Xenopus tropicalis: one gene and its partners. The protein of the gene in region 1 binds, or shares a complex with, the protein of each later gene. Links are inferred from orthologs where the notes say so. Each region holds a gene or a part of one and is shown in the gene's direction. Other genes may lie near its edges.

The links. Proteins that work in one complex are often made in the same cells at the same time.
Region 2: the proteins of ywhaz (region 1) and map3k5 are in contact, whole or in part, in a crystal structure (PDB 6EJL), measured with the Homo sapiens proteins. The link is inferred for Xenopus tropicalis from reciprocal best matches to the Homo sapiens genes YWHAZ and MAP3K5. Residues at the interface, in NP_001129171.1 of Homo sapiens: Val46, Lys49, Asn50, Arg56, Lys120, Arg127, Tyr128, Glu131, Gly169, Leu172, Asn173, Val176, Tyr179, Glu180, Ile217, Leu220, Asp223, Asn224, Leu227, Trp228; in NP_005914.1 of Homo sapiens: Ser964, Ile965, Ser966, Leu967, Pro968, Val969.
Region 3: the proteins of ywhaz (region 1) and cdc25c are in contact, whole or in part, in a crystal structure (PDB 5M36), measured with the Homo sapiens proteins. The link is inferred for Xenopus tropicalis from reciprocal best matches to the Homo sapiens genes YWHAZ and CDC25C. Residues at the interface, in NP_001129171.1 of Homo sapiens: Lys11, Glu14, Gln15, Glu39, Val46, Lys49, Asn50, Arg56, Arg60, Val61, Ser64, Lys120, Arg127, Tyr128, Glu131, Gly169, Leu172, Asn173, Val176, Glu180, Asp213, Leu216, Ile217, Leu220, Asn224, Trp228; in NP_001274511.1 of Homo sapiens: Gly210, Tyr212, Arg213, Ser214, Pro215, Ser216, Met217, Pro218, Glu219, Asn220, Leu221, Asn222, Arg223, Arg225.

What each region holds. Positions count from the first base shown.
Region 1 is NC_030682.2:130,813,688-130,816,592, reverse strand, and holds part of ywhaz (14-3-3 protein zeta), read left to right. Parts: intron 1-797; coding exon 798-921; intron 922-2,364; coding exon 2,365-2,528; intron 2,529-2,614; coding exon 2,615-2,710; intron 2,711-2,905.
Region 2 is NC_030681.2:59,037,050-59,041,189, reverse strand, and holds the start of map3k5 (mitogen-activated protein kinase kinase kinase 5), read left to right. Parts: upstream 1-1,326; 5' UTR 1,327-1,510; coding exon 1,511-1,961; intron 1,962-4,140. UniProt on the Homo sapiens protein: Serine/threonine kinase which acts as an essential component of the MAP kinase signal transduction pathway. Plays an important role in the cascades of cellular responses evoked by changes in the environment.
Region 3 is NC_030679.2:48,003,893-48,007,920, reverse strand, and holds the start of cdc25c (M-phase inducer phosphatase 3), read left to right. Parts: upstream 1-1,214; 5' UTR 1,215-1,298; coding exon 1,299-1,315; exon of another isoform or gene 1,316-1,545; coding exon of another isoform or gene 1,546-1,547; intron 1,548-2,857; coding exon 2,858-3,085; intron 3,086-4,028. Other genes in the region: oocyte-specific histone RNA stem-loop-binding protein 2, read right to left, coding at 400-413. UniProt on the Homo sapiens protein: Functions as a dosage-dependent inducer in mitotic control. Tyrosine protein phosphatase required for progression of the cell cycle. When phosphorylated, highly effective in activating G2 cells into prophase.

The sequences.
Region 1 (2,905 bases):
GGTACAATAAAAACTTAAAACTTGTTACTGTCCCTTAAAGTAACAGTATATCCCCTTCAGCACAGTAGACAAATAATGTTTAGCATAGTGATCCTCAACCTTTCTTACTCGTGAGCCACAGTCAAATGTAAAAAGACTTGGGGAGCAACACAAGCACCATAAAAGTTCATGGAGGTGCCAAATAAGGGCTAAGATTGGCTATTAGGGGCCTCTATGCACACTATCCGCTTACAGGGGCTTTATTTGGTAGGAAATCTTGTTTTTATTCAACCAAAACTTGCCCCCAAGTGAGGAATTCAAAAATAACTCCCTGGTTTGGGGGCACTGAGAGCAACATCCAAGGGGTTGGGGAGCAACATGTTGCCCCTGAGCCACTGGTTGGGGGTCACTGGTTTAGCACAAGCCCTATTCATTGAAGTGGGAAGTATACTGCCTCTTTAAAAAAAAAAGGGGGGGGGAAGGGAGATCTGAATTTAGCCATAAAGCATATTACTGTACTGCATTAAAAGATGACTTAAAATTATTGCATGTTTAAGGAATATTGGAAAGTTGCTTAGAATTGCCCTTTTTTTTTTTTTTTAATTGCAAGTTTTTGGGACTATTTACCCTTTAGTGAAAGTTTATGTTGAATGTAATTATCTAATTATTGTTTTCTCTCTGTTCTGTGGTTCCTTCCCTTTGTGTTGCTGGGCTATTGGAATTGCTGGCATCTGCCAATGTACCTGACGCACAGATTTTGAATGTGTATTTCCCATATCACTGTATTTGAACCTGCATTTTTTTTTTGTCTTTTGCAGAATCTTCTGGACAAATTCTTGATTGCCAACGCATCACAACCGGAAAGCAAAGTTTTCTATTTGAAAATGAAGGGTGACTATTATCGTTACTTGGCTGAAGTAGCTTCTGGCGACGCAAAGGCAGGTGGGTGTTGTTGCGCGTAGACTGCATCCTTAGGAGCTTATCCTTCAGCTCAGGCACTACTCAAGCACCAGCCTTGGAGGGGGCATGGTTCTCTAATGGTGCTATGAAAATGGTGAAGCATCACCCAGTAACTCAGTAGATGTTTGAGAGGTTGTACAGCCACAAAATTTCCATTTCTTAGTTTCCAGCCAGTCAGGTACAATCAAACTAAATGTCTGAGGTTTAACTAGGGCAAAGCTCCTTCCAAATGCTGAGTAACCATATTCTAATCATGTGCACCTGATGGGATACACCTGTGTGTTGTTTCAGCCATTTTAAGTGGGTCTAAATGGGGGTGTCCTGATTTATTCTTCACCAGAAATGGCACTTTGTAGAATTACATTTTACAGAAGTATTTTCTTCAATTTTAATTGTTTAGTTATATTACTTGAATCTCCCTGTTTTGTTGAAATTGAGATTAAATATCCATATGTTCAAGAATGTTACAAGAACACACAGGGTTTCATAGTTTCATATTTCCTAATTTTTTTCACATGAGTACCTATAGGCCAGGTTGAGCATTTTCCGCTGATACGGCTGCTTTTGTAAGTAGTTGTTACTTAAAGCCAACCTGACTGTCCTGACATGTTATTTTAGCTTTATCTATTGGGTCCCAAACTCTGGGACTTGGAACAGGAGGGGACTTTTTACTACAAAGGCCTCCAAGATACGCCAGAAAGCCCAGCATGAAATTGTTAGGGTGAGATTTGGGGTGAAAACATTATTGTTGTCCTAAATGTTCTTGGGAAAATGGCTAATACACAGATATTTTGCTATTCCTTGTTAAGAGGGGCCATGACCTAACCCTTGTAACAAAAGGGACATAAACTGAAAGTCTGACAAAAACTGCCCTAGTTTACAAAAGAACCACAACACAGTTAGTGTTTAGAATGCATTTTGCCTATTTTTTTTTTACCATTTATAAAGCACTATTTTTTTCACTGTTTTTTCACTGCCATGTTTATAATGGTAGAGGGGGGAGATTCAGAGATTATCTGCCTCTGAACAAATAAACCCCTTCCTTTCCTGAGCTTCTCCAGCCTTTGAGCAGCTCATTATCAGAGGGCTTCAGTGCCCTGGTAATTAGTGTGATCAGCTTCTCCTGCCCACAACAGAACCAGGAAGTGCTAAAGTAAAAGTGTGCATTTTCTTTGGTGCCAGAAACGGAACCATAGATATTTGTCCATAAGACCAATTGCCAAAAATCTGCCCTATTTATCCAGCTTGTGTTTTCTGAATGCACCGTTGCTGGGGTGGAATGTGGTTTTGGAATTTCAGAGCATGAAAAGTGTAAATCTCTAATGTAACACAGATTCTTTAGTCTTTCAGTTGGTGCCCACTTTACATTTAATGGAATATAAGCAGAATGTACATGCAATCTAACATGTGACTCTGTGTTGCTAGATATCGTGGCCCAGTCACAGAAGGCATATCAAGATGCTTTTGACATCAGCAAAACTGAAATGCAACCAACACATCCTATCCGATTGGGTCTGGCCCTGAACTTCTCTGTGTTCTATTATGAGATCCTCAATTGTCCAGAGAAAGCGTGTTCTCTTGCAAAGGCCGTAAGTGTTTTGTCTCGCTCTGCCGGCGCATTACCAGGCACCAGCAGCAGTTATCCGCAATAACCTCTGCTTTTCTGCCATTTTAGGCTTTTGATGAAGCCATTGCTGAGCTTGACACTTTGAGCGAAGAGTCCTACAAAGACAGCACATTAATAATGCAGTTACTGAGAGACAACTTAACAGTAAGTCAATGAGGCTTTGCTTTCATCAAAGCATCCTGATTTGCACATATTATTATTATTATTATTATTATTATTAACTATACCCCCGATGGGCTGTGTGCTCCCTCAGAGATCAGCTGACAGGAAATAATGCAACTCTAACTGTAACAGGAAGTAGTGTGGGAGCAAAAGGCAGAAATCTGTCCATTCATTGGC
Region 2 (4,140 bases), on another chromosome or scaffold:
GGGGAATAGATTCACGGGAGGAGGGTGTAATTCTTCCCCTTTACACAGCGCTGGTAAGGCCCCATCTAGAATATGCTGTTCAGTTCTGGTCTCCAGTGCTCAAACAGGACATGATTGAGTTAGAGAGGGTCCAGAGAAGGGCAACTAAGCTGGTAAAGGGTATGGAAAGTCTCAGTTATGAAGAAAGACTGGCCAAGTTGGGTCTGTTTACACTGGAGAAGAGGCGCTTAAGAGGTGACATGATAACTATGTATAAATATATAAGGGGATCATATAATAACCTTTCTAATGTTTTATTTACCAGTAGGCCCTTCCAACGGACACGAGGGCACCCACTCCGTTTAGAAGAAGGGAGGTTCCGTTTAAATATTCGGAAAGGATTTTTTACTGTGAGAGCTGTGAAGTTGTGGAATTCCCTCCCTGAATCAGTCGTGCTGGCTGATACATTATATAACTTTAAGAAGGGGCTGGATGGATTCTTAGCAAGTGAGGGAATACAGGGTTATGGGAGATAGCTCTTAGTACAAGTTGATCCAGGGACTGGCCATCTTGGAGTCAGGAAGGAATTTTTTCCCCCCTGCGGCAAGTTAGAAAGGCTTCAGATGGGGTTTTTTGCCTTCCTCTGGATCAACTAGAAGTTAGGCAGGTTATATATAGGCATTATGGTTGAACGTGATGGGCTTATGTCTTTTTTCAACCTAACTTACTATGTACCTGATTATTTGAGCAGCAACGTTCTACATGCTCCTCCCTAGGGTTCAGGAGTGAATGGATCGTAATTATTTTAGGCATAGTTACATTTCTAACAATGCCTAAAGTTATTTTATGCATTTACATAATTTTACATAACTGTGCTGGCAAGTAATTTGAGTGTGAAATATAACTTATTGTTAGAAACATAATGGTACCCCCATTAAAAGCCAAAAGATCAGTTCATTTTAAGCACAGGAAAAGCATACAATTGTATTTAGTGACTGCTTTATGATATAGGTTAATATCCATGTTTACATTTTGATTTTTGTTGAAGTTAAAAAAAAATAGATAATATGGTTTCATCAAGCTCAATGACTCTGTATGTTTAACAGCCAAAATACAAGGGCTTTGGGAGTGGTAGGATATAACAGACCAGAAGAATCAGCCAGAATGCTGCAGCAGGGACTAATCAAGGAGTTGGGAGTAGGTAGAATGCTGCAGAATTGAGGAATCAGGGTGCAGAAAGAAGAAATAGGCTGTAGCCCAGATCAGTCGACTACTTGTAGCTAGCAGGTAGAATGCTTCAACTCAGAGGAACCAGTGAGCAGGATGGAAGGAAGTGGTCAGAGACAAGAGAGAGGGAGGGGAAGGAGGAGGAGGAAGCAGGACAGAAAAAGTATGCTCGGAACAGCCCGGAACAATCACTTACACATGGGGGGATTAATCAGAGCTTAATTTATGGAATAATTTTTAGTAACAGAGTAGGGCTCGCTGTCATTTTGCACACAACTGTCCTAAAATGGACACCGTACACTGAATGCAAGTAATGAGTGACAGCAGCGAAGGAATCAGTTTCTCTGTACCATGCTCACGGCTGCCTGGCTCAAGCTGCTGTGCTCATGAAGACACAGGAGGGCTTACGCTACAGGAAAATGCCACCATATGCGGTGGAACCAGGATCCCTGAAGCTGGAAGCTTCTGGCGTGAAGATTACCTCCGTGCTTCAGCGGTTGGAAGTGGTAAAGATGCCCCATGCTATGGAAAGTGGGTTAACCCCCCTCCTACAGCTAGCGGAGGTATTAGCCTTCGTAGGATTACTGTGGTATATGTTATCAATGAAGTAAGTCCGGAGTTGCATGCTTGTGAGGCTGCTGCATTATACAGTTTGCAGGAGGCATGTGAGAACCATGGGGCACTGCTTGAGACCCTGGATTTCGGCAAACTGGACTTTGGCGAGACGTCAGTGCTAGACACCTTCTACAATGCAGGTAATAGAGGGTCTGACTGACATGCTAGAGTATTAGATGATGGGCACCAGATCTGGTATTTTTATTTCCACCCTTGTTCAAGGTGATAATCATATTTAGTATTGACTCCAGATCATATGTGAGGGTGTGCACACCAGGTCAGTTTCACAGTTGGAGGCCCAGCCTGACACTGGGTAACAGTCTTGGTGGGAAGAAAGGGGAAGTCCTGAGAGAAGACAAACAGAGCTACTAGTAGCAGCTACTTGTCATGGCTACTAAAACAGACAATGCTGATCATATACTGATAGCTGTCTCTAGGTGTGTTTTAGCAAAGGCAATTCTCAGTATTGTCTATGGCAGGGTTTTTTTCTGGCATTTAGTAGCCGTGACAAGTAGCTGCTACTAAGTAGCTCCGTGTGTCTTCGCCCTTAATCTTATCATGAGGCCCATGTTTACTGTTCGTATGCTCTCCCTCCTCTGTGTGCATGGGTTTCTTCCCCTACTTCAAAAACCATACAGTCAGGTTAATTGGTCTCTGATAAAACTGCCCCCTCTTTGTGATGGAAAACTTTGTAAGCTCCACTGGGGCAGTGAATGATGTATAATCTCTGTAAAATGTGACAGTGCTATATATATATATATATGTATATATGTATATATATATATATATATAATAACAAAAAAAATTTAAAATAATATTTTTTGGTATATATATATATATATATATATATATATATATATATATATATATATATACACCAAGAAATATTATTTTTAAAATGCTGGTTGATCTGGAGCAAACTGTACACTAGTTAGTTACTTTGTTGATATGTAGTATGTGCTAGCAGCCCTCATTGAAAGGCAGACACCTGGGGGCACATTCATCAATGTACTATTGTGCCTGAATACTAAAAATTTGTATTTTTCTTAAGTTTTAGAACTGTGCGTATTTTCTGCAATTTTTTTTCCTTAATTTGCGTGACTTTTTCATACTTTGCAACAATTTGTGCAACAAAATCGTATTTGTCACAACTAGTACGAAAGTTTCGGAATTCATTCAAGCTTCAGTATTGTTACTTTCCTTGGGCCAGGTTGGAGCTGCAGAGTGCCTTTGAGTCCTGTGGGAGGCTTCCAAAAACATGCACAGAAGTTTCAAAGTCAGAAAGTTTTTTGTGCCGTTTCCAATCTTTCGTATACGAAAATTTAGTAACTTTCGTATCAAACCACTATACTTTCGTACAAGCATGATGCGACTTTTTGCAAAATTAACTCACATCAGAAATTGCAAATTGTTGCAAATCGTACTCGGAATTCGTACTTTAATGAATCGTCCCCCTGGTGTTCACTGTGTTTTGACCAGCTATGCCATAAGACAAATGGGTAATTAGTAACATCCGTATCATATTATACAATGAGAGTATGAGAGTACAATAATTAGTGAGGAGCAGTGGGCAATGGTAATCTAAGAATATTATATATGAAAAGATATATGGCAGCATACAAAAGCCATTCTAGCATTTGCTAGATCAGTGCTGTCCAACTGGCGGCCCGCGGGCCGCATGCGGCCCTCGACCCCCCTCTGTGTGGCCCCCCACCTGTCTGGCTGCTTTGATGGCTTACTCTTGTGTAAGCTTTAAATGGTATCAGTACTGTGATTAACTGGCCCCCCCTGCATGGTTCTCACCTCAGATTCAGGCTGTAATCAGGCTGTATTGTTTAAATATGTAATCCCCTGTACTGTTCACACCTTTTAATCCCTGCATTGTTCACCCCCTGCAGTGTTCAAACCTCAGGCTCAGGCTGTAATCACTCCCATTGTTCTCCTGTTCACACCTCAGGAGCAGTAGAAACCCACAAATAAACCCTGCACACTACAAAAGCAACATACACTGAGGTGGTACTGCAATTAAAAAGTTTTTTAATATATAGTTATTGTGCAGACTGTTGGAGCAGTGCCAGCATTCTGTCACTGTAGGCTGCCTGTGTTTGCCATACACACAGGCAGGGTAGGGAAGGCAGAGTATGGCACACACAGGCAGGGTAGGGAAGGCAGATTATGGCACACACAGGCAGGGTAGGGAAGGCAGAGTATGGCACACACAGGCAGGGTAGGGCAGGCAGAGTATGGCACACACAGGCCAAGTATGGCACAAACCAGCCAAGAATGGCACACACAGTGAAAGTATGGCACACAGGCAGG
Region 3 (4,028 bases), on another chromosome or scaffold:
TGTAAAATTTTCTTCCTTTTGGTTTAGAACAAAAAAAAGTTTGCTGTGATAATCAGCTCAAATGTAGCATAATAAATGGTACACAAATCATCCATGCAGTGAATTTATATAAAGTGCGATTTTAAACAGTGACAATGCAACCTGCGCAGCAAAGATATACATATACAAAAAGTTTTAGAGAAAATGGTTACAATTCCAGGTTAAGCTTTACTGCCCCTATTCCTGAAGGCCATCAAGCTTTTTACAGGTCCTCCCTCCCTAGATAATGCACAAATGTATCCCAGAAGTATTCCAGTTTCTTAATACATGCCACATTATTAATCCTTTCTGATGCGTATTATATTCTTGCTAGAGAACCATTATAAAACGTACAGCATACAACAGGGCAGAATTACTAACCAGTCATGCAGCATGAAGATTTTATATGGAACCTGTATTAAGACAGCAACAAGATTTTAAGCACAAAATTGAAGTTATGTGTAAACACTGAGTAAGTTTGCACCTGGGCAGTAACCCATGGTCAATCAGATGATTGCTTTTAGTGTTTAACCTAAAGCTGGCTAATTACTGCTTGGCTGCTATGGGTTAATGACCAGGTGCAAATTTGCCAAGTGTTTACAAATGAGCCCCATAGATCCAAACAGAATTAGAGAGAACTCAAGATGTTTCCATGTAAAACACTGAAATAACCTGACAGCATTTTCCACATTTGAAGTGAATGTATTATTACAAAACCAGATACATTTTTTTTTTTTAATACCAAAAGCAGACTTCTAATAACTGCCAGGAGCTACCAAATACAAAACGATTACACGTCAAATCCACACTACTCTAAAGCCCTTCAACCAGCCAGGCAAAACAGAGCATTAAGCCAGTGGGTGAGCATAACCACTCCAGCATAGGAAAGCTACAGAATTTCCAAAGAACGGAGGAGAAAAAGCAACACAAGCTCATCGTAGAACACCAACTTCAAACAGCACGCTTCCCTCTATTACCGCTGCATGGCTCAGACAACAGCTGACTAAAGCTACTCAGCCATTGCTCTTTAAACACCCCGCCACAGCAAAGTGGGCGCGCCCTGCATGCATAATACAAACGAGATAGCGAATCACTGAGCGCAACAGGGACCAGGAAGAGCTCTAAAACAACTAAACCAATCTGAGACTGCGCTGCCTGTGACGCGCTCTTATCAGCCAATTATTACAGATATTTGTTTCAAACAGCTTGTCTTGTAGCCTATCCCAACGGACCTCCCTGTCCTACAGCCTTTCTAGGTGCTTTTGTGAGTTGTGACCCGGATGCTCTCTTGTGATTGGTTAGTTGTTCTAAGCGGAAGATTTTAATTTTGTGTTCGGTTTTTTGTTTTTTTTTTGCTACGTTGTATCTGTAACTGGTATCGTAGTAGGGGTTCGAATGGTAAAATAAAAGTGCACGCAGATGCTGTAGGGGTAGAAGGGTGTTCTGGACACATGATAACTTGCTTCAGACGCAGACTACTTGGCGATGGAGAGTCGGTTCGATAATTAAGGAGCGTGTAACCCCCGAATGTAAGCAGTTCTTATTAAACTTGTCATTCTAGTGACCTCTGTTCAGTAGTGATGATCTGTGCCCTGCTTTATACATGCATGTTGTAGCCTTTTCTCAAATAATATTGCCCTGATGTTATCAGGTGGAGTGAGTATTGCACTCTAGTGGATATTGTACTTAGAGGTACTTAAATAGTATATAATAAGAGTCATAAATAATCTTTAAAATGTACTCTTTGACGCATGGCCGTCCCTATATACCAAGGCTAATTTTCAGTGCTTTAATAGCTAATTGTAATTGCTATAGAAAGCAGCATTTGCTGAACTCCTGGTTGTTACTTTTTAAACAATATTGCAAACGTCAGTCTCCTTCAGCAATACAGGTCTGTCAGGCTGCTGCCTTGTATCTGCTAAATTGTTTCAACAGTCAAAGCCACCAGGGCAGAAAATAAAAAATGACTGACAAACACTACTTTTAATAGCAGTTATATATACAAATAACTCAAAAACCATTATACATTTGTAATGAATGTATATTGCAAAGTTGCTTAGAATTTCTCTTATTAGGCAAAAAATTATATTCTGGGTTGGCTTGTCTTTGAGCGTTTCCTCTTCCTTATTTCTTCTCTCTTTGGAATCCCTGGGCCAGAGCATGCGCAGTAGAGTGAAAAAGCCCACTTTCTTGTTAAGGTTTGGCTTTTCACTCTACTGCACAAGCGCACAAAGGAAGAGTGAACACTTGCTGCAGCTACGCCAGGCTGGTGCGGTTTTATCCCAACAGGGGCACCAGCCCGGGGTAAAAGGTAAGCGATTAAAGTCACTTGGGGGTGCCTAACATTTTGGCACCCCCAAGTGACTTAGCCTTTCCTTCTCCTTTAAGTCTACTAAAAAAAATCAATAAAACATTAATTAAACCCAATTGGATTATTTTCTATCTATTTAAGTCACATTGAATGCCCCAGACCAGGGTAGGCTATATTTTATCTCAACGCAGATCTTTCTTTTTTTTGGCAATACTGTTCTTTAAAATTGCTTAAAATTTTTATGAGGCATCTGAGGTGCCCAATCGGTGGTATTAAACATGTTAGTCAGAAGGAGGGCTCCAAAATGCACGTTTGTTGTGTGAGTTGAAATAAAAGATGTTTGGGTATATTAATAAAAACATGGCTGTAGAGTCAAGCTTTATGGTAATAACCTTCATTGTTCTCATAGAGTATATGAAAGTTTTTCATAACAAAATAAACAGATTTGTGAGTTTTGTATAAAACACATGTTTGCAGATCTTTCATTTTTATTTTGTGCTATAACTATGTATTTCATTTGCACCACAGGTTCCAGACAAGTAGTGGAGGCTCGGCTGAAGTCATGGCAGAGAATCACATAATGTCATCAGAAGCACCCCCAAAGTCCAACCAAGGCCTGCATTTCCGTACAAATTGCAGAATGATATTAAACCTCCTTCGTGAAAAAGATTCCTCAGTTACATTTTCTCCTGAACAGCCTTTGACACCTGTCACTGACCTTGCTGTTGGATTTAGTAACCTAAGTACCTTCACTGGGTAAATATCAGCTCGGCATTCTAAAGCCTGCATGCAGAGAAATTTGCAGAACTGGTTATTTTGTGCTCTGTATATGTTTTAGGGCAGGGGTCCTCAAACTTTTTAAACAGGGTGTCAGTTCTTGGTCCCTCAGACTGTTGGGGGGGGCTGGACTATAGTTAGTCCTCGAACTATGCCCCCGCTGCATCCTCACCCCTGGCTACTACCTGTCTGCCTCAGCATTGTCCTCGGCCCCAGCGTGTCACCGCATCACACCAGTGGGGGCTGGGTAAATGATCTTGGGGGGCCGAATCGACCCGCGGGCTGTAGTTTGAGGACCCCTGTTTTAAGGGCATCACAAACTGATGATTTCAGATGCTTGGGAGCCATTGCCAGTTTGCCTCAAATTGACCACCTTCCCCATTACCTGCTATGGTGATTACCTAAAAACAAATGTGCAAGTTGCTGAAGAGTCTCAGAAACATTAAGCTTTTGAATTATTTGAAGTGATTAGTGGTCATAATAAAGGTCTTAGCAAAGAAGTTAGAGTACATTGTAAAGTAGAATTTATCAGTTGGTGAGGTCAGCTATTTTTTTTTTTTTTTAGCATTTCTATTTTGTTTTTTGCTTCTCTAGAGGCTCAATATAAAAGTAAGGTCTTTGGAGGAACCCATACACAAGCCAATAAGCTGGAGGGCCTGAAACAGGAGCTTTTATCTGCACATGTACTGTCTGTCTTAAAATATAACTGGTAATTTTTAATGGCTGCAAGGGAGCAGGAATGCTTGGAACCTAGGAGCTTCATGACAGCGTGGACATGCTATGTAAAAAACGGCAGAGAAAAACATCACCTGTTTATTGTGTGTGCAGCATTGTGACATATGCTGTATATTCTTTCCTTTAAGAAACCGTCCATATATTCCTTTTTCCTAATTTTCTTCAGTGCACTGTTTATAACATGGTT